Linked DNA regions of Drosophila melanogaster. The protein of the gene in region 2 interacts with the protein of the main gene of each other region in a pairwise test. Each region holds a gene or a part of one and is shown on either strand. Other genes may lie near its edges. The genes, in order: CROT, CG10654, fmt and Hr38.

Region 1 (5,733 bases), on a different chromosome or scaffold from region 2:
AAGAGGCGGCAGCCACTCCACCGGCTGCCGAGCAGAACCTTCAGCCAGTTCCGGCCACTGGGCAGGAATGAGTGCAGGCGTACGCCGGCTTGCCGCCACAGCAGCAGCAGAGACGAGGCCAACGGATAGCGCCGCCGCCCTCCTCCGGCTACTCAATGCTGCAGCCGCACGCTGGCTACTATCGACCTCCGCCCCCGCCGCACTAGTGCGGACAGCCCAGCTCCTAACTCAACTCATACGATTTTTTTTCCCCCATTCTGTCCTTGGGTCTGCGACTCAAAAAGTACTGCATAAATAAAGAAACGCAGTGAGAACCACTTGTAATTAGCATTTAGCTCCCAGATAATCGAAATTACTAACGAAAAGTTTTCGTATATAGACGATTATATATATATATATTGTAATCCGGCGCAAGCTCCAATTAATTTGTACGTAGTATCTAGGGCCGGCTAACGTATTGAAGCGGCTGGGCGCTTAGCTTATTTAGCCGCATTTTAGAATTGAAACACAAGAATTACCGAGAGAAATGTATTTGCAAAAACTAATCGATCATTGAATTTAAATAAACGTTTAACACGAAGTTACAAATGCTGCACACCCTTTCTGTCAAACTACAAACTACCAACGAAGTCTGCGTTTTCACTTAGTTTCCGGTGAAAGGTGGGTTGAACTAGGGATCCAATTTCAAATAAAAAATATTTAAATTCGACTGTTCGTTAAAATCTAGGTAATTGTGCTAATTGAAACAAAATGGAAAGAAAAACCAAAAATCTACTTTCTGATTGGAACTAAAAATGAGAACTGAATTTCAATGACGACATAAAGTAAGATTAGATCTTTTCTTAATACTAGATGAGCTTTTCATAGCTTGGATTCCTTGGCCAATTGTTCCAGGAGAACGCTGATGCGGCGGAATGAGTCCTTGAAAATGTCGTTGAACTTGCGAGCGCTTGTCTTTAGGCTATCCCGATAGGCGGTGGTATTAATGAACACACTAGAATGTACGAAATTAAAGAACAATTCAAGATAATGGAGGAGTGTCTAGCTTACGCTTCCGAGGTGATGGAGTAAAAGACGCCATAGCCATCGAAGACCATGGGCGCCACGAAACCAACGTTGGCCGTGAAGCCCAGCGTGCTGGACGAGAGCACAAAGTTACCTCCTCCGCCGCTCTTGGTGTACATCGGATCGTCGTAGAAGGCGGGAATGTCCATTTTGCTTTCATACGCCGCGCACCACAGGCCAAACAAGTGCCTATCGATGCCGTGTCCCTTGCGCGCCTCGTTCATGAAGTGCTTGTGCTCATCGACTGCCCTACGGAACGCCCTGGCCAGTGACATATCGCCAACCTGCTTGTTGGATGACGCCCTCAGGAATTCAGCCACAGCGGAAGTGCATGATCGCAGGGTCTCTGTTCGTCCATTGTAGTACTGTCGCATCAGAGCAGTCTCATATGTGGGAGCAATTCTGTTGGATATCCATGGAGTGTTGTTAGTGCTGTTTTTTTTAGTCCAGAGGTGAACTCACTCTTTATGCATTTGGTAGTAGGCCCACTGCATGACCACCTGAACAAAGGAGTCTGGATGCAGTCGATGGGTTTTCATAAAGTCCTTGCCGTAGTCATCGAACGCAGTGAAGGTCACAGTAACGTCAATACCCTAAGGATACCACATACAAAAGGATTAACTAGTTCAATAACAGGTTTCGGAAAAAGGCGTTTTGCCTACCCTGTCATCAATATCCTTCTGCACGCGCTTGATCTCGTTCTTGAGCGTATCATCCAGCTGGAAGTGCAGCTCCTTGACCTCCAAAACATTGCCTTTTTCGGCCTCTGCCCAGTCTGGCTCTGGCACCTCCAGGAAGCTCAGTTGCATGAATGTGGCGTAACTTATGCTGACCGTGCCATCGTAGCAGCTGTGCTCACCCGTCCAGTTGCAGCGTCCGTTGCGGAAGGCGATGATGCTGCTGCTGCGGTCTGCCCAGCGGGAATGGAGATCACCGTAGAGACCCAGCTGGCAGGACTCCTCGTAGTCCTTGGGCGATTGCTCGTACCAGCAGATCTCCATACATGCGCTCTCCACCAGAAGCAGCGTCTCCTTGTTTGCAACTGAGATTTCCCTCAAACGGTTGCGGTTGCGTGCCCACGTGGAGCGTTCGTCATGGCTCAGGGTGGGCACACAATCGCCCAACGGCTCGTAGTCGAGGATGCTGCGCACTCTTTGCAGGGCCACGAGGATTTCGGGAGCCGATAGGATAGTGTCGTCCTCGTGCACACAATCGAAGATGAACTGACGTCCCTTGCCGGAAATAAGCATGTGACTCGGCGTTTTGCCCTCATCCTTGGTGAGAAAATGCTTCTCTATATGATCCTGCTCCTCGCCTGGCACACGGCACGTGGAGAAGAAGTGCTTGTACAGCGCGGAGGAGTACTTTATTTTACCGCCGTTCGAGGAGAGCGGTTTGATGCTGGACTTTCTAGTCAGATCCCAAAACTCCAGCGAGTGGTGAATGTGGCGCGCCAGACTCTTCGAAAATTATACAGTCAATTAGGCAATCTTAAACTTTGTGTTCTTATAGAGCTTGGGGTGTGGGTCCACTCACCTTCAGCATGTACTCCGGTGTCTCCGGCACGCCCACCATTTCCAATTGCGAGGGCATGACCATGAGCTGGTAGGGCAGCAGCGGCATCCGAATCAGGTGATATCCGTAGTCCTCCCACCAGGTGCCCAGCCAGTTCCTCATGCCGGCCGCCCGCTTCTTGAGCTGTTCGTGCAGCTGGGCTCCCACTCCGTTTTGGAACTCATCAATAGTCTTGCGGGCCTGGGCCAACTCCTCCTTGGTCCCGAATGGCTGGATGCAGCTGTAGTAGCGCTCCATGGTGTCCCTAAGCTCCGGCAGCGGGAGCGAAGGTAAGGTCTCGTCGAAGTCGAAGGTGTTCTTATCATCCTTGCTCATAAAATATAGACTAGCCCGGTCCATGGTGGTTTAGCTGCGGGGGACACGTTGGAATCGTTGATATCAGTCTGCGCGTGTGGTGGTTTTCTATAGGCCTAAGTCAGATTAGTACAATAATCATATCGGGAATCGCTTTTACGTTCGTCAGGTCCAAAGTTCACCCAATACATTACTGAGTACATTCACATCGGAAATAAATTGATCTCATCTTATAGGTTAAACATTAAAATGGTGTGCAAATTAATACCACACAACTAAGAACACTTAATGTGCAACTAAGCGGATTATGCGTCAAGTTGAACGTAATCTTTCTTGGACTGCAGCTAGACGACTATCTTCACTAATCTCCTCAAGCTGGACAAAGTCCGGATTGGGGAGCTTTATAAATATTTATACTCCCGGCGCACTGGTGAAATCATAGGCGAATTTCTAGCCCACTGACCTTTGTACTCGATGGGGAATTCACTTTTGCCGGAGACAACTGAAGCGCCAGACTGCCGTTATACGACTGAATCCATAGGTTGGTTCCATATCACAGCAAACCTTGCCGGAGGGGGAGCACTTGAATTATCGCACCGTGGGATCCGCCACCCGCGTCCACTGACTCAGTGCGATAATATATCACCCTAATCATTGCTATTGCAGACAGTCGGCCACCGATAATGGCCGGTTTCATTTGAATTTCTATATGAATTTCTTTTTTAATAACATATTCCAGCAGACACACCCACACAAACCTTCGATGAGGCGGCAGTTGAATGTCGCGCCCGAACTTCAGTTTGCGATGCACTCGATCGAAATTAAAACGGTTCCGCAGCTATCAAGTTCATTAGGCTAGATAAGCAAACAATTTTATAGGTTAAACAATTATTTTTATTATTATACTGCTGCGTTTTTGTTTACAAGCGGCGAAGACCCTATAGGAAATTGGCACAGCAAACAGCTGTTTGCAGGAGTTGCCAGACTTTTTACACCATTTGTTTATACCGTTAGTCACCACATTCTTATTACGTACATCTTATTCTTATTAACATCGCATAGCATTGTACATCGTACCGCAAGATATAATCCTCCCGGATTGATGCAATCAACTGCCATAAACGTACATTGTAACCGTTAACAAAATGCGAATATTGTTTACAATTATTAATTAAATAGGTCATTCAATGTTTTGTAAATATTTAAAACTTATTTAAATTTATTTAATTTAATTCCTTAGCATCCATTCATAGCATCCATGCTGACGCCTATCTGGCAACGCCGCCAGCAGCTGAAACAGCTGACATCTGTCGAAATGAGTGAAAGAGACAGGCAGAAAGAATAGAAAGAAATTTGGGACGCTTGTTTTCTCAAGCGGCTTTATTAAATTTCTAATCCCAGCAAGAGGTGGAAATGCTGCCATCCACGGGTCTCTTTAAGGGCTTCTTGTGCCCTTACTTTGACGGCCAGGATGCGGCGTCCTGCAAGCGCCCCTTTTGCCACTTTAAGCATGCTCGCAAAGGTGAGTGAATTACGTCCAGTTAATTTCGCAACAAATTCTATCCACTCTCGGTTTACAGACGAATTGGAGGCCGCTCCACCTGCAGAACCTTCCCCCGTGCCCAAGTACAAGCCGGCACCCAAGTTGCTCTCCCTTCCACTGCCCCAGATCACGCTATGTGCGCCCCGGAAGAAGTCCAATCTGGAGTACCACCCGGAGAAGCCGGCTCTTGACGCATCGCCGGCTAAGAAGAAGCAGGAGGCGTCCGTGGACAGTGCTCCCAAATATGTGCCCGGCCAGCCATCTGTTACAAATGGCGAAGAATATGACGATTGGCAGGCGGTACTCGAAAAGGAAATTGATGAGCAGATGCAGGTGGAGATTGAGGAGCAAGTCCAGAATAACGACGAAGAACAGAAGATAGATACGGTAGCTGAAAACGAGGAGGACCAGGAGAATACGCAACTGACGGATGCTAGGGATAGCCACGAAAAGGATCGAAAGCCCAGCAAGGAGCGGGAAAGGGATATAGAAAAGAAGAAGATCAGAGAGCTGAAAAGGGAAAAGATCAAAGACAGGGATCGGGACCGGGACCGGGACCGGGAAAAAGACAAAGAGAAGAGCAAGGAAAGGGACAGAGAGAAGGAAAAAAATGATAGGGATAAGCGAAAGTCCTCCCACAGCGACAAGGAGCGCTCCAAGGAGCGAAATACTTCAAGCTCAAGTTCCTCTAAGCACAAGTCTTCATCTAGCTCCTCTTCCAGCAAAAAGTCATCCAGCAGCGATAAGCACCGCGACGACAAAAGTTCCAGTAGCAGGCACAAGAGCAGTTCTTCATCATCCTCCTCGAAGAGCCATCATCACAAATCTAGTTCCTCGAGTTCACGGTCCAAAACTAAGAGGAGCTCGTCTTCCAGCAAAAGCGCTGGCACTTCAAAGAGCGAACCGGAGGCGGATAAGGATACTGAAGCAGCTGTACTGACACCAGCAGAACCTATGGATGATCTGGATGACATGGACTTTGATTTTGAAGCAGACACCTCGGAAGGAGAAATTGTACGCCAGTGTGAAATGATTTTTGACGAGATGGAAAAAAAATTTGCGCAGATGCACAAGGACGAAGGCGGCAATGCCAACCCGGAGAGTTCTCGCAAGCGCAAAGCTCCTTCTCCGGACATTGATACCTTCACCGAGGCAGCCACGGCGGCTCTGCAGAAGCGCCGGGTGGCCCACGAGAATGCTGACAAGATCACGCCTCATTTGGCTCCTTCGGCGGCGATGCGCAAACCCAATCACGT
Region 2 (4,813 bases):
CCAATTCCTATCCGTATGCAGCACCCGTGGTGAAGTTCCTGACGTCCTGCTTCCATCCCAATGTTGATCTGCAGGGCGCCATCTGTTTGGACATACTGAAGGACAAATGGTCGGCCCTGTACGATGTGCGCACCATTCTGCTGTCCATACAATCCCTGCTGGGCGAACCGAACAACGAGAGTCCACTGAATGCGCAGGCCGCGATGATGTGGAATGACCAAAAGGAGTACAAAAAATATCTAGACGCCTTCTACGAGAAGCACAAGGACACCTAGAGTTTGGCAATTCGTTGTCATATATCCTATGCTCATATTGCGGCGTATTTATTTACATATAGTGCAAGCAACTCCACTCATCCGAAGACCTACTGCCAACCAACAAACCAATCATCAATCACCACCGTAACACAGTACCATCAGTTAAGTGGATCACCAGATCAATTTCAACAACGTTCAATGCTGATAGTTCATTTGGCAAAAGACCCCGTGCGTTTCTTATGTAATTGTCGATCGATTGACGGATAATCTGGTTTTTATTCTCATTTCTTTCCTCCTCCCTACAAATTAATGATAAATGAATGTATTGGTAATGTAATTTTAAAACTGTCATCCGTTCTTTAAGCTTAAGGATAAATTTTAGTTAATTGTTTTATATACGCATGATTACTTTTTTGAGAACTACTGCGAGTGCGCGCCATCGCCATCGCCATTTTTTTGTACTGATGATTTTTAAGCGACTATGCTGCTGCGCCGGCCATTATGTGAATGTTAGCTAATTTTAGGGCAGCCTCATCGATTCGTCAACCATTCGCGTCGTCTTAGTATCTCCAATTATGCGGCATTCTCCCACAATACTGGCATAACAAAATTCCAAGTAATTCGAATCATTGTAACAGTTGTGTTAGCTTGATGTTATTGAAACCACAAATAAAACGAATTATTGAACTACATCCATCGCTTTGTGTTTCCTCCCGTGAGCGTTGAGCTCCACGCTGTTCTGGAAAATGCGTCCGCATTTTCTGCATCTGAGCAGCAGATTCTTATTGCCGTGCTTGCGCAGCAGATGATCCACCATGTTCTCCTTGGTGTAGAATCTGCGATCGCAGCATTCGCAGCAGTATCTCCGACCCTCAACGCTACCATGGACCATCTTGTGGCGCGTTAGATGTGCCTTTCGCGCAAAGCACTTGCCACACTCCTCACAAATGTGCCGCGCATCCGGGGACTCTGACTCGTGATACCTTTCGTGCGTCCTTCTCATGTGATATTTGAGACTTCGGTTCGCTGTGTACACCTTGTTGCAGCTCGGACAGGCATAGATGATCCGCGCAGCGTCGGCATTGTTATGCATCTGCCGCAGGTGCGACTCCAGCAGATTGGCCCGGGCATAGCTCTTGGCACAATGGACGCAGGTATACGGTCTCAGACCCTCATGCTGCTGCATATGGGCCTCCAGCAGCGACGGTTTGTAGAAGCCACGGTGGCAAATTCGGCACTCGAGGGTGTGTCGCACTCCTCGTCGTTTTCTGGCACCCAGCAACTTGCTAGAAATGGATAGCTTCTCCTGGCCCAGATCCTGTTTGGCTGACTCGTCCTCTATTACGTAGACTTCCTCCTGGAAAATTTAGGGTATTATATATTTAATTACCATAGCAAACTGAATGGTGGTGGTTTTTTTTTTTTTTTGTGGGAATTCTGTACATATCTATTATGAAGGAATTTTTTATGTAAAAAGGGTCTAAGCATATAAAAACAAACTGCTTTTGGTTGAGTTAAGTAATTTGTAGTAAGGGTAGGAATTACATTATGTTTACTCATTACTTTAAAGTGGAAATTTTTCCTTAATTTGCTATTAAGATTATCTTATCGCTCGACTTAGAAGATGATAAAATGAAAGTAATATTTTGTGAACCGAACTTTTGGCGGTCACTTATCTGTTTAGTTTAGTTTTTTAATGCTAAAAATATTAAAGGCGCTATAAATAATATCTAAAATGAGTGAAAGTTAGGGAACACATTTATCTATTCTAGATAAAACTGGCCTTTAAAATCGACTTTCTTATTTGGAGGAGCCATAAATCGAGGCGTGTTGCCATCTTCCCAATTTTATTAGTGGAAAATTTAAAAATACCCAATAGATTGGGACGTGCCTCCTTTTCGAGTGCTATCACCCACCAAACAAAAATAGTACAACACAAACAAACGCTGTCGAAATGTTTTTGTTTATGGCGGGGAATGGGGAGCAGTATTGTCTTTGCTTGGCTGCTAGGCAACACACCTCGAGCGAAGCACCCAATGTGATTCTAGATAAGATTACGGCCAGAGGCAGGCACACTTGTGGCCAGATAAAACTCACAATCTCCTGCGTCGCTGCGATGCAGGGTGCGTGCGACTGGGCTTCCGGATTAGTGGACTCGTTGCTCTCCGAGGGGGTGTCCAAGTCGTGCCAAGTGTGGTCCTCCAGTTTGTGGCATCCGATGTCGATGTCCTGCAGCAGCTTCTCAAAATTGCGCAAGGACTCTGCGCACATGCGTTGAAAGTCGTGGAACTTTTGCACCAACTGATAGCAGCACTCGCAGATGCTTTTCAGCACCAACTGGGGTGGCAAATCCCTAACGGCATCCTCTCCAGTACAGCCGTAGTACTTGCTGGCCAGATCCTGTTCGCTGTCCAGATTGTGACACGCATCCTGCGGACCCAGTAGCACAAGACAAGCGCGGCATATCATCGTCTTGGCACCATCGCATCCATCCATGCCGGAGGTAGTGGTGGTGGTGGAATCGGCGACAATGCGACCCGCGCACAAACTCAGCTGGGAATCAAACATCGTTGCTGGCATCGTCGGGAGATTCAACGGGCCACTCAAATGGCGTGGAGCCAATTGAAATCAATTAACACAATCTGCGACGGCGGCAGTGCAGCAGTCCGGCGTCCAGCGGCCAAGCCAACGATGGCAGTAATGCCAGCGGAGAGCACGATTCCATTTCCGGGGCTTTCGAATTGCGGGACATTGAAAGCTGCTGCCGAAAAGCTGCGTGGGATCAGCCCCAAAAGCTTGGCGTCGACTCCATGCCCCCAACTATTCTATTCGAAAAGCTATCCTGCATAGTAAAATTGATTTAAAATATTATGCGACTTCTTTAATTAATTAAAAAATATTTCCTTTAATATGCTTCGATATTTTAGTGATCAAAATAAATATATTAATTTAATATGAATTACCTTTTTTATCAAAATCTCAAGTTTTATTTGTGTATACAGCACAAAGTATTTAAAGAGTAAATTAAGTAATTTTTAAAAGATTCTGCCATGTGATTTTAGGCAATCGTTACACATGAAAAAGATTGTGAAAAAACATATGTTCTGACAAGTTAAAATAATAATAATCCAAATGTATAGCATATCCTAACCCTAGATATAACTACAACTACTCAGTTTGTAGTATTTTGCTTTGTCCATTCGTTTAGTTAATATATATCCTTCATCTATATGCTATTTCCGGTGACAGTCGAGCCCAAAGTCACAGAAGTGGCCACTGAAGACAGCGTTTCCATGGAGATATTGAACTTCTGCTTGAATGCCTGCATCGTGTCCAGATGGTAGATCTTCTGTGTTCCATTGCAGGGCCTCTGATCGATGGCCACGGCATAGAGATTGACATCTCCGCTGTTGGCCAGCAGCGTGGACATGTAGTGGGGCAAGTAGACGCGCTGCAGTTCCGGGGATTCCGAATTCTCCGATGCGTTATCCCCGCTGGCCATTTCCTTGCTGAACGACCGATGCAAACGGACTATCTGCACGCTTTGATAGTGCGATATGAATAGGAATGGATCGCGGTAAACAAATCCAGTGGGTGCATAGACCCAGTTCAAATCGTACGGCCTGGATCTGCAGCCAAACTCGTCCACAAAGACGCCATATTCGGCAAAGCAGAGCAGATACTCTTGTCGTGAGATGCGCACCGCAGTTAGGGGCTGGCACTTGGCAGTGCTCTCCATTGACTTATCGGACAGATCCACAAACTCCTCAGCCGCATAGTTGTCCAAATCGATCTCGTAGAACTTATCCGAGCTAACAATGGCCGAGTGACGCGTAAAGAATATGGATGTGACCGGCGTGGCCGTGTCCAAGGCTCGAACTGGCTTAAACATGTGCAGCTTAAGGTCGTACTTCAAGATGACAATCCTAGTGGACGTGGCCGCAATAGCCACCGAATCCAATGCGTTCTCCGCCTCATCGGAGATCAGCACTAGTTTCCATTTCTCCGATGGCGTGCGATTGGCAAATGGCAGCTCAATGGCCGACGTTTCCAGCACAGGCTTGTGACACGAACTGGAGCTCTGACAGCGTGACTCCAGCTGGCGGTAGTCACATTGATATAGCTTCTCGCCAACTGTGCCCACCATTATAGCCTTAGCCAGGCGCTTGCAAATGGACATGCAGCTCACCGATTCGAGACCAGAAATGTGCACCAATCGCTGCGAGTCCAAGTGATACGCATACAGTCCCGTGTTACAGCCCAATAGGAGTATTTGCTGCTCGGCCACTTCAAAGGCGCAGTTCACTTCGATCTCCTTCCGTGCCTGATCTTCTGCACCATCCGAACTGTAGACCAGCGATCCAATGTACTCGCCACCGCTGGTTGTACCACCCGCAACATCTACGCTATCCAAAGTCAAGCTGGAGACAGATTGAATACTGCTAAGATCATCGGCTGACGGTGCAGTCGGCTTGGTGGATCCGCAATGGCTCTGAACATTGGAGCGACACTTGCGATGCGTAACATCTTTGCACTCCTTGCATTTCCAGAACGGC
Region 3 (6,582 bases), 6.3 Mb from region 2:
GCCACCAGTTTACCATTAAAAGTGGAGAGTTGGGACGCATGTACCTTTGTTGGTGGCGCATCTGGCGGTCCGACTTAAAGTCCGTCGTATGGTATATTTCGTTACGCAGAATCGTATAGTCGGTAAGGACGACATCGTACTGGGCCAGATCGAAAGGACTAACCCAGAAGGTTGAGTGTAGGCCGAAATAAAGGAGCACCTTAAGCGATGGCGATATATGCTTGTGTATCTCTTCGAACCACTGCATCTTGATGGCGTTCGGAGATACAATGATGGTAGCGCCGCTCTCAACAAGCCTTTCGCCAGACTTTACCAATTCGGACCAGCAGCTGGGACACAGGTGGGGTAAGTCTGATTTTTCTGAAATAGTCATGCACATTTCGTGTTGCCACCGACGGCATTTGGTGCACTGCACTCGTTTACCGTGTTTCTTGGTGCAGATGCAGAAAACCTCGTCTTTTTTACTTATACGTGACCGCTTTAATGGCACTTCATCGGAAAACTCCTCGAGGCGTTGGTGCCAGTAATCGTTTCGGTAGGAGTCTTGTGGGCGCGGATTCATCAGCAGCATGGCCAGGAACTCCACGGTCTTGCCCAGGCCCATCTCGTCGGCCAGAATGCCACCCGGCGGCAACGAGATTTTGGGAATCTCCTCCTCGAAAGGATAAAATTGTAAGCAGTATTTATGCTTAAAGACGCGAGTTATACCATCAATGGCATGGAGCACTATGAAGTTGGCCGGCACTTGAGTTATCTGCTGCTCCCGCCCCAGCATCCAAGATACTGTGCGCTGCTGGTACTTGCGTAGCTGAGATTGAAATCTTTTCGGCAGGTCTAGCGAACGTTCCTGTTCAACATGAACGGTCTGGCGGTGCTTTTCGTAGAGGGCGTCGTACAACTTGGTGGTTACATATGTTTTTAAGGGACGCTTGTGCTCCTTCTCCTGCTGGGCCACCTCGAACTCGAGACTGCCTCTGAAGTCTTTAAAGAAAAGGGGCAGAACTTGTTCTCCCACTTCCATCTCGATCTCACGTGCTCGAACATGCGTCTGTTCATGGCTTAGCACCAGGATGCAGGAGCCCGACTCCTGCCGAATGGATCTGAACTTCAGCTTTCTCGTCCGAGCATTCTGGCCTGAAATATTTTCTTATTAATAAGTGCAATTATAGTACGTTAGCCTACACACATTTTTCAATACAAATCAAAATCTCCTCTTTATGCTCAACGAGATTATCTTTGAACACCCATCGCTTCTTTCCGTAGCGGAACTCCGTTGGATCCTCGGGACTTTCTGGAGGTACTTCATCAGCAATTTCGCACAAAACAACGCCATCCATTGTTATTTGCGAAATAACAATTCGGACAAACAAATGTGCGATGACCGCCAATTCGATATACGATAACAGAAAAATCTATATCGGACACCAAATGACACACCTCCACAGCTTAAATTTAACGATTGCAACAGGGGAATCTTTATGTTCTCTAGAAAGCAAAACATTTTCGGTAAGTTATCAAATAGCAACTCAGGCAAAAATGAAAAGAAAGAAAACCATTTAAAAAGAAAACCAATTAAAGAAATATATTTATAATAAAGAACTGTATTTAAATCATAAAACATAATTGTATGTAGTTTAGTTTCTACAATATGTGCAGCGGTTATCGTGTGAACAAGTTGAAAAATGACAATCGATAACCGATTGTGTGAGGACACGGTCGATCGGCCGCATATATCACACTGAGTTAATATACCCTGTAATCGAATATTGTCCACCTCTACGAAGCAGTGAAGAAAATTATAGCGTGGTTTTTTCGGTTGAAAACCAATCAAAAGTGCAACAAACAGTGAGCAAAACAAAGTCCAGCCAACTCGTAAGTGTGCGCCCAAGCATCCCGCAACCCTTGCAATCTCAAACGACCGGCATACAACCATTTTTCGACCCGCATTCGTAGTGTATATGTGGAGCCTGCTTGGCATAATTACAAAAATTTACGCATTACTTTGTGAGAGCCGAGTGTTGAGCTGAGTCTAGTCTGTGTTCAGTGTATTAATTGCGCTATTCCGCTTATCCAAATCTCCAATCCCGTCCCGCAGAGCCGTGCATGCCAAGTCATCAGCGTTCCGCGAGTCCAGCGAAGATTGATCTTGTTTCCCCCAGACTGAAAGTGTCACCGCCAAGACGTACGTGCGAAAAATGTTTTGGGACAAGGGTTATGCGCCCTCCGCGAATATAGAGGCGCTGCTCGAGAAGGAGGTAGGTTGACTCGATCCGTGCTGATCAAGTGGAAATGTCTCAGTTACGCGTCGTCGCCATTCGCAGAACTCCACACTGGAGGAATTTCTGGACGAGGAGGACATACTGCAGGAGTGCAAGACGCAAAAGAAGAACCTGGTCAACTACTTTACACGTCCCGAGGTCATACGGCGTCTGGTGGAGCTGATCACGACCGAGCCCTCTGAAGATGTGCCCATGTCGAAGCGTTTCCGCTATGCCAACATGTCCTGTGAGATACTCACACTGTAAGAATTGAATGCCCGTTGCCATCCAGAATTCTATAGCCCATGCCATTTTAGCGGCCTGCCGTCCCTGGATGAGAAGCTACTGAACGACGCGGAGACGCTGCAGCTGCTGTATTCATATCTGGAAAAGGAACCACCGTTAAATCCATTGCTATCGTCGTTTTTTAGCAAAACGTTTAGCATGCTCTTTACCAAAAAGCCTGAACAAGATTGGTTTTTGTATCAACACATGTGCCTACAACTCCTGGAGTATATTAAATCGCAGAAGACCTTTTTGGATTTCATTTGTAAACACTTTGACACACCGGTCATACCTGATCTAATAATGCAGATGATGAAGGACATCGAGGGTGGGCGACTTAAGCGGAACCTTTTCGAAGTAAGTCCATTAGAGAGTTTTGCCTAGGCATACGAATCTTATCGAATATTTCTTTTAACAGTGGCTAACTGAAGATAAAATTGTTGAGAGACTGATTGCAATATTGCGTAATCCTCAAGAAACCGACAAACATGCAAATGTTGCCGACTTTTTCTGTGATCTTATTAACCAAGGGCGTCTAATGCGCCAGACCGAGCAGGAGAACGATTCGTTTGAGCCGGCCTTCGATGGATCCAACCCCATTCTGAAGACGATCGAATTTGCGGACACAATTGAAGCCTTGTTAAATGTGATTTTGGAACCAAACGCTCAGGAGAGCGCCATCTTATCAGGAATATCGGTTGTACTTACGCTAATCAAGCCAATTACCTTCACGTAAGTTATGCTGCCAGTGAATTTGTCACCTTATTCTAATTGATTTACATTTTTTCCTGTAGAGATGAGCCCAACTCGGATCGCCAGCGGTTGTTGCAAAAGCGCGAACGCGAAATCCACCAGGAAGTCCAGGAGACTGTGATCACTGTGATGGCGCCACGCCTCCAGGAATTTGTCCACATACTGAAAAACCCGCCTGCGGTTAGCATGAAACTTTTTGTCACAAAGAACCAGCTGTTTATCTTTTGACTTGTAGAAACCCACACTAGAAACCACGGCCGCCGTGTTAACGCCCCCATTTGGAAAGACTCGACTGCAAGTTTGTCGCGTGTTCACCGCTCTGCTGGAGACCAAGCATGAGACTATTCAGCAGGCGTAAGTCACTGCTTTATAGAAAGGAGAACTTTTAATAAATAATAACTTTTTATACTTTAGAATCTGCGCGACTGAGTACTTCAGCCTGTTGCTGGACTTTTTCAAGCAGTACTGCTGGAACAACTTCCTGCACACAGAAATGGAGAAGGCACTGTACGTGGTCTTTTACAACGAGCTGTCCAACAACAACACTGCATCCACGGAGGTCACGGATTACTTCACTGCAGACTGCCTGATCAATGCCTTTTTGAAGGTGGGCACGGAGGAGTCCGAAGTCGAGATGAAGAACGCTCTTAACGATGCGAAGCGCGCGGAAGGTGGCAAGGATGAGGAAGGGGGCGACATCGAAATCGAAGTGGCAGCTGCGCAGGAAGTGGCTGCCCAGACGCCCGATGAGCGACAGACAGCCGCAGAAGAAAACCAAGAGCATGAAGAACATATGAGCCAAGTGGAAGCCGCAGCTGAAGCAACAGCTTCTGAGGACGCCGAACCCAAAGCCCAGGATAATGAAGTGAAAAATAGTGAGGTGGATGGTGAATCTCCAACAGATCAGCAAGAATCGGAGGCAACGCTCAATGATCTCGACAAGACCAAGACCGTTCCGAGCCCTCCGCCTTCTGAAATGCAATCACATGTAAGTCTTAGTTGACTTTTGTACCCAACTAAACTTAATTCTCGCTGATTTGCAGTTAATTGTAAACTGTCATCTGATATCCAAACTGGTCGACTTGTGGCAGCACAATGCGCAGGCGCAGTAAGTACTTCAATTGACTAATTATCAGTCTGGCACATAACAAATGTTCTTTTTTTAGATCTGCTGAGAAGGGTCGACGTTTGGGCTATATGGGCCACCTTATTAAAATTCTTCGTCACATTACGAATTGTATATCAGAATCTGAACATATCGGTGATCTGATCACCAGCAGCCTAAGTGATGAAGATGAGGTTAAGCTGTGGCAATCGTTGATCGATGCGGAAACTGGCGAGTTTTCGCTGGCGGTTAAACAGCAGACCAAGCTCCTGGCCGACTGCAATCCTCACGAGGAGAATCAGTACAATGATGGATCCAATGACTATACTGGCGAGATAAATGCGTGGAACGTTGGTAATCTGCCGTACAGAGAAGTGGATTGTAGTGAGCTGAATAACACGTTGCAAGACATCTTCTTTGCCATAGATCAGAATCGGTTCCAGTTTGGTCGAAACATTGACGACGAAGATGATGACGATGATGAGCATGGCGACCATTCAGGCGGTGGTGATGGCCACGGGCACGGCATGTTCACCAAAAATTCGAACACGCTGAACAACTTGGCTGACCCTTGGGACATCCAGTTTGCCGTGCTTTCCAGCGCGCCTACGCAGGTTAACACGGGCACTGCCAACTGGGGCACGGATTTCAATTCGGATAACTTTGCTGATTTCGATGCGCACTTTAGCACATTTGGCAGCGATCTTGGTATGCCCATAAGTGCGCCGCCAGGTGAAGAGGAAGAGGAGGACTCTTCCCCAGCGCCGGAATCCGCCACACAGGTGAACCCAGAAGAGGAGCGCCAACCCGCTGAATCTATTGGCCTCGCTGTGGGCAAGGGCGTTCAGGATAATCTAGCGTGTACCGACGATCAGCAGGCTGAGTACGACAATAATGCCAACGTGGAGAAGGCCATCAGCGATAAGCTGGCCGAGTCGAGCGTGGTGGAGACTGCAGCAATTGTTACTCGATTGCAATCCGTACTGCTGGACGGCGAGGATGATTATGAGGACGATGAGGGAATGTGGACCAAGCCACTGGGTGCGGATCGTCCTTCGGAGACCGAGCAAATTACTCCCATTTCAAATGGACCAGACAGCAAAGTGAATGAATTGTAAGTTAACCCTTTTGCACGTGGGTATGTAAATATGTATATATGAAATGTTTATACTTTTAATCTATTTAAAATGCCAAACAAGTTTACACCTATGCAATGTATTGGTTTGTAGCTCAATTTTTTGTTTTACCATTTATTACTTAAATACATTGCACTTGTAATTAAAACCAGGGGTTTACCTTTCAGCAATCATGCCAACGATATCAGCAGTAACAACGTGGATGGCCACGAAGCCAACATCACAACGGAGCAGCAGAAATTGGCCGCTGCCGCCAAGACGAACAATGTTGAAATTGCAACTACGACCACATAAATGCACTTCCTCACCACACCATACATCATTCAAGCGATATTGTGTCGACGAGAAATTGTAAAAACGCCTTTGATTTGCTCTTTGGTCATTATCATGCATACATATTTATATAAATATATACCACATACTACTACTATACGTACATATATAACAGGCTGCATAGTACAACAAAAGATTTGTGTATTAGCAAAAGGCCGAAACCCGCCCAAAACCAAAATGCAAATTATCAAACAAAAAAAAAAAAAAAAAAAAAAAAAAAAAAAAAAAATAGCATCAAAAAAATATCAAAAAGCTAAAAAAAAATATTCACAGTAAAAAGTGTATTGTTGATTCCTTCTGCTCCTCGCTCGTATTGCCAATTATTTTAATTATTACACTTTCTTCATGTTTCCTAATTAAGAAAACTGTATTTTGTTTGTAATATGTATTAGTCTGTCGATTTAGTACGCTTTTACTTTCAATACTCTCAATGTGTTAGGCAACCTATGAGCATTACTTAAAGTACCAAAATTCACGCAACGTTTAGAATGCTTAGTTTATATTTGTATTGTATTCGTTTTAGCTCGATCAGATGAGGATTATCTATCTATTCATATGATATATGTATGTATATACATATATATATATATATATATATATATATACACTTTTGGAGCTGTCAGTAAATTACGTTATCGCAAAGTCGTACGTTATCGTCCTCCTATTGTGGGGAATCCCCTCCAATTAGTGGTGACGTAATATATGGACAACT
Region 4 (4,695 bases), on a different chromosome or scaffold from region 2:
TTAGTGTTTAACTGCATTTCACCATAGAAACTAATTTTCTACTTGGGTAGTTGTTTCAAAAAACCTATCCGAAGACTATCGAAAGGATACCTATCCATATGTAGCGCATGATAATCATTCTGTAATATTGACAATTAAATCAATTTAGAATGTGCATATAGTAGATTCCTGTGAATTGAAGGCTCACATGGCCCACTTGCAGTTGAAAACGCTAACCGCAGAGTGCTTAAAAGCTGATTGCTGGGAAACACTTAATGGGCGCTAAGTTAGCCGCAAAATACAGTCGCTTAAGAAGCGGCTAACAAGTGGCTAACCGACTTTGCCGCAGCGAATGAATTGGCAAAGCCTTTCAAGCCGTTTAGTAAGCCCAATAATCGGATGCCCCACCGCCGGGCGCCCTAACACCACCCACCGAACCAACCACCCACTCGGCAATGAAATGATCGATCTATCTTTCCCATGCTTGAGCTTCAATCGGCGATGTTTTTTTTATGCGGTTATTAATAAAAATGCATTGGCCATCCCTAGCCGTCGATAGTGAGTATCTGTGTGGAAATCGGACGCACTGCATCTGTGTGCGGTGTTTATTGTGCAGCTTGTAAATCATTTTGCGTCAGGCTGCGTCCGCTGCCGTCTGCTGAAACTGCGGCGCTTTGCTGACGCTGGTAAACATGTGTACGACACCAAAAACAGCAGCACATGCTCACCGAGAGCCAAGACGGGTCTGCACACACAACTAAGGTCAAAGTGGTGGTAATTGATTTAAGCCCGTCTTTACAGTTCGGTATAGTTGCCTCAATTAATTTTATGCAAATGCACTAAATTTCATAGCATACAATTTTTAATGCAAATGATAGCTTGAAACTAATTCTGATGTAACTATACAATTAATTTTATTAATGCACTAAATTTCATAGCATACAATTTTTAATGCAAATGATAGCTTGAAACTAATTCTGATGTGCTTAAAAAAAAACTATACCGAACATTTTTAGAGCTGCCTTTAATAGTACTCCAAATGCTTAAACTTTTTAATTGTTAAATCATTTTTGAATCATAATCCAAGAATTTTTAAAGTTCTCTGCCTCATTTTCTTGACCTCTACTGTGGTTGCTCTCGTATTTTGCGAATGGAAGCTTAATATTTTCACCATTTTTATGATGCATTTTGAGCAGTTTTCATGCAAATTTATGTCGTCATTGTGCGTTGTCCAACCTACCCCCACCAGCCACGCCCCCTTTTTTATTCAAGTTGCATTTTTCAGATTTTTTCCCGACCTGCCTTCTCAAACGGATTGAGCAAACAGTTAGCTTCTTGGCCGATTTGGCAATGCGCGCTGCACATTGCGTATACGCCGCGTGTGCTATTAGCGAATTAGAAGAAAACACCACAGCGGCGTTTGAGTTTGGAAAATACAAAAAAACAAAAAACGAAAAAGTCACCAACACCGATAAGCCGAAAGGGAAAACCAAATACATACATGTGTTTCCATTGGCAAAAAAGTGGCTGTTGCCGGGTGAGCTGGAGGTGGAGTTCGAGTCTGAGTTGCAGTTGGAGTTGGAGTTGGAGGAACTGCAGCAGGCCAGGTGATTGATATCGCAACCGTCGGGAAAGAGGTTGCGGCAGGGGTAAATCAAAGGCAGAGTCGGCAGAGGCGGCGGCAAGAGGGGATGTTGCTGGTGTGTTTGGTGCTGCTGTGCGTGTTGCAGGTGTGATGTGTGTGACTGCTGGTGTGTCGGGGCATTGAGGTTCTGTCTGTAGCAGGAGTTGTTGTTGATCTCCTGGAACAAACTGCTCTCGGTGTACAGTGAGGCCTCGCACTTAATGGCCGTTGCCTGGTGGTGGCTAATGCTCGTGTTGCTGCCGCCCTCTTGCTTCACCACAATCAGCGAGGCAAGCCGATCGCGCATCATAGACCACGATTCTCCGTTAAAGAACCCAAAATTAACAATGATGTTGATGGTGATGATGGGACACAAACATAAAACGCACACAGGACGGGACAACACAGATCACACACTATATGGTTTCTAAATAGGCACCTGTTTGGCGCCCCGAGCGGCGCTGGTGATCCAGCACGACTGTTCCGAGTTGGGCTGGGATTTTGCCTCAATTTTCTTGGCTGCGGCAGGAGTGGCCGAAGCTTTTGTCGCAGTAGCTCTGATTGCAGTAGTTATTATCGGGCTTCATTTTTCTGTCCTTGCCCGGCTGTTGTTTTTGTTGTGTGTCCTTAGACTTGAACTTGCCTCCTTTTTTTTTTGGCTTTTTTCTTGTTGCCTTTCCTTTTTTCCGGCGTTTGCGCAGTGGCCAAGTGACGATGTAAGCGACGTAACGACTTACGCACGCTATACTATATCAACTGGGGTCTCTATATACATATACATATATATTCGGTTGTGGTAGTTGCAGTAGTGGGAGGCACAAGGACGTTGCTTACACTTTACACACTGATACACACACGCGCGCAATGGGCAACACAAAAACAATTACTACTGTTCTTCAGCTCACGTGCTCGTTAAAATGTTAGCAAAACTTTCAGTTCAAAAATATCTGTGTCTTGTCTCTCAGAAATGAAACGAAATTTGAATTACTATAGATTAATTTACTGCACATTCGCAGCGGGGTAAGATAGATTAAACAAACATACGCAGCGTTGCCCACCGAAATATATGCATTGTTCGCTTAAGAAAGGTAAAGGTGAAGTATACGCCGCGTTGTCAACCGTTGGAAGTTATTACGCATACGCCGCGCTGTCGACCGGCTTCCGTTTCCGCATAGAACGAATGCACGAATCGATAAAGAACAACAACTTGTTGCAATTGTTTAACTCTTGAGCACTCACACCTATGTTGGCTTTGTGTTTCGTTAATACTGAACGCGATGTTTATATAGTTGTGTGGATTAAAGTCTTAGTTGGCTGACTTAAGATCGGAAATTCAGAACCATCGAGCTCGCCTCGATATAAGTTCTATATTTTGTATTGGCTTTTCCGTGAGCGGTGGCTGTTTGGGCTAAAGTTGTTAACAATGCGGCGTCTGTGACGCGACTGAACTTATCTTTACGGTTACACGCGACTATATTCAACGCGTCGCGTCGACAGCGCTGCCTCAGCTGGCGCCGTGCTGCGCTCGCGAGAGCGAGTGAGAGCGAGAGTGAGTGTGCGATGGAGAGGGAGGGGCGACGGCAAGCGAGCGGGACACGACCTACCTTTGCGGCCCGGCTATTACGTCATTTGGGGCCAACAACTGAGCGCAGCTCGTGCGAGGAAAATCGATGACGTCGTTGGCAGAGCGCCTGCGCCGGAAAATCCCCTCCACCCATTTTCAGCGACCGATTTTCCGAATGCAGTCCAGTGGGACAGTTCGGAAGCGGAAATTATGTGCGTCATAAAACCGACGTTGGCCATCCCTTTTGCTCGCATCTGAGATTGATTGGGGCTCTTGGTGCCGTTTCACCTGCTCCGGCTTACCACTCCGCCACCCACTTTTCCGCTTTTCCAACCGCCCACTGGGTATCCACTTCTCGCCTGCTGCCAAAACTTCCGTTTCTCTCAGTTATCGTACACAGGAAACATGTTTATTAATTTCAGGATATATAAGGACGTACAATTTGTAGGAATATTCCCTTATGCACATTGTACATCATCTACACACTTGTCTTTAAATATCAATCTCTTTTCCATGTGTAGACTGTACTCTAATGCATTTATAAAAAGCATGTTTTTAATGTTGTTTGTTTTTTTATTGTTTGTCTTAAACTACATATTCTTCTCAGTGTACTAAGTCTGTGTGGGCATTCTGTGGTGTCGTTTTGGTGGAAAGGACTTCCTTGCTCTCGTGTGTGTGGGTGTATTCAAAGCAAAGGAAAATGGACCAGATTTCGAGGAATATGTTTATGTGAGTCAATCCCATGATGGTGAGCGTGGGTGGAAAAGTAAAGCTATCATGTTAAATAGGAAGATAGAAATTTCGAAAAGAATAACAAGTATCATATGGCAAGAATTCAATATTCTATTTATAGTGATTTACTACTTTTGAATTTGGTTTATATTTATGCTATATAATATAATTTATAATTATGCTATAAATATTTCAAATTGAAATTGATATGCAAAACGGACTTTTAGCCTAGAAATGAGTCTGGTTTTCCTTTCAACTTAAATCACGATTTTATATTTATCTCAGTTACCCGCTTTTATTCCCTATTTCACTCCAAGTGCTAAGACAAATCGATTTCACACAAGATCCCAGGCCAATTTCGCTTTTCCACTTAACAAAATACCATCCTGCCACTTCATAAACCAGATCACTCTTTCCTCATCCCCAAATATAAATAAGCTGCGCCACAAATCATTTGGCCGATATAACTGGCAATAACACGATCCGAGCGATTTTCCCGCCCCGCGAGCCGTCGGAAAAGCGGGAATATTAATGCACTTTACCATTGACACCGGCGTTTGCAGCTCGTAAACAACAACGAGGAAAACAATAATAACGCAAAGCCAGTACAAATCTTCTCTCCCAAGATCGGCGACACACGACTAGAGAACGGTAAACCCGAAGACGCGGCGTCGACCGCGCTGCCAGCGTCGACTGCACAGAGAGTGAGAGTCTTGGCGCTCGGCACCCGAACCCAAATCCAAATCTTCGGGATCCGCAGACTCGTCTTTGCGGCGGCGACGTCTTCTGGCGTTTA

Evidence for each region.
Region 1: the proteins of CG10654 (region 2) and CROT interact in a two-hybrid assay, tested with the Drosophila melanogaster proteins (one large-scale study listed by BioGRID).
Region 3: the proteins of CG10654 (region 2) and fmt interact in a two-hybrid assay, tested with the Drosophila melanogaster proteins (one large-scale study listed by BioGRID).
Region 4: the proteins of CG10654 (region 2) and Hr38 interact in a two-hybrid assay, tested with the Drosophila melanogaster proteins (one large-scale study listed by BioGRID).

What each region holds. Positions count from the first base shown.
Region 1 is NT_033777.3:27,702,863-27,708,595, forward strand, and holds CROT (carnitine O-octanoyltransferase), read right to left. Parts: upstream 3,890-5,733; 5' UTR 3,693-3,889; intron 3,640-3,692; exon of another isoform or gene 3,203-3,639; intron 3,043-3,202; exon of another isoform or gene 2,990-3,042; 5' UTR 2,980-2,989; coding exon 2,602-2,979; intron 2,526-2,601; coding exon 1,728-2,525; intron 1,659-1,727; coding exon 1,528-1,658; intron 1,468-1,527; coding exon 1,051-1,467; intron 995-1,050; coding exon 862-994; 3' UTR 517-861; downstream 1-516. Other genes in the region: btz (barentsz), read left to right, coding at 1-71; CG12877 (uncharacterized protein), read left to right, coding at 4,348-4,456, 4,515-5,733.
Region 2 is NT_037436.4:12,504,874-12,509,686, forward strand, and holds CG10654 (uncharacterized protein), read right to left. Parts: upstream 2,968-4,813; 5' UTR 2,838-2,967; coding exon 2,277-2,837; intron 1,615-2,276; coding exon 937-1,614; 3' UTR 501-936; downstream 1-500. Other genes in the region: vih (vihar), read left to right, coding at 1-275; sti (sticky), read right to left, coding at 3,484-4,813.
Region 3 is NT_037436.4:6,169,050-6,175,631, reverse strand, and holds fmt (fiery mountain), read left to right. Parts: upstream 1-1,751; 5' UTR 1,752-1,872; intron 1,873-2,095; 5' UTR 2,096-2,195; coding exon 2,196-2,255; intron 2,256-2,321; coding exon 2,322-2,521; intron 2,522-2,575; coding exon 2,576-2,900; intron 2,901-2,961; coding exon 2,962-3,275; intron 3,276-3,337; coding exon 3,338-3,476; intron 3,477-3,531; coding exon 3,532-3,650; intron 3,651-3,710; coding exon 3,711-4,284; intron 4,285-4,339; coding exon 4,340-4,404; intron 4,405-4,462; coding exon 4,463-5,515; intron 5,516-5,689; coding exon 5,690-5,831; 3' UTR 5,832-6,063; downstream 6,064-6,582. Other genes in the region: CG7376 (uncharacterized protein), read right to left, coding at 1-1,134, 1,187-1,337.
Region 4 is NT_033779.5:20,711,557-20,716,251, forward strand, and holds the start of Hr38 (hormone receptor-like in 38), read right to left. Parts: upstream 3,033-4,695; 5' UTR 1,914-3,032; coding exon 1,481-1,913; intron 745-1,480; exon of another isoform or gene 1-744. UniProt on the Drosophila melanogaster protein: Binds to NGFI-B response elements. Plays an important role in late stages of epidermal metamorphosis.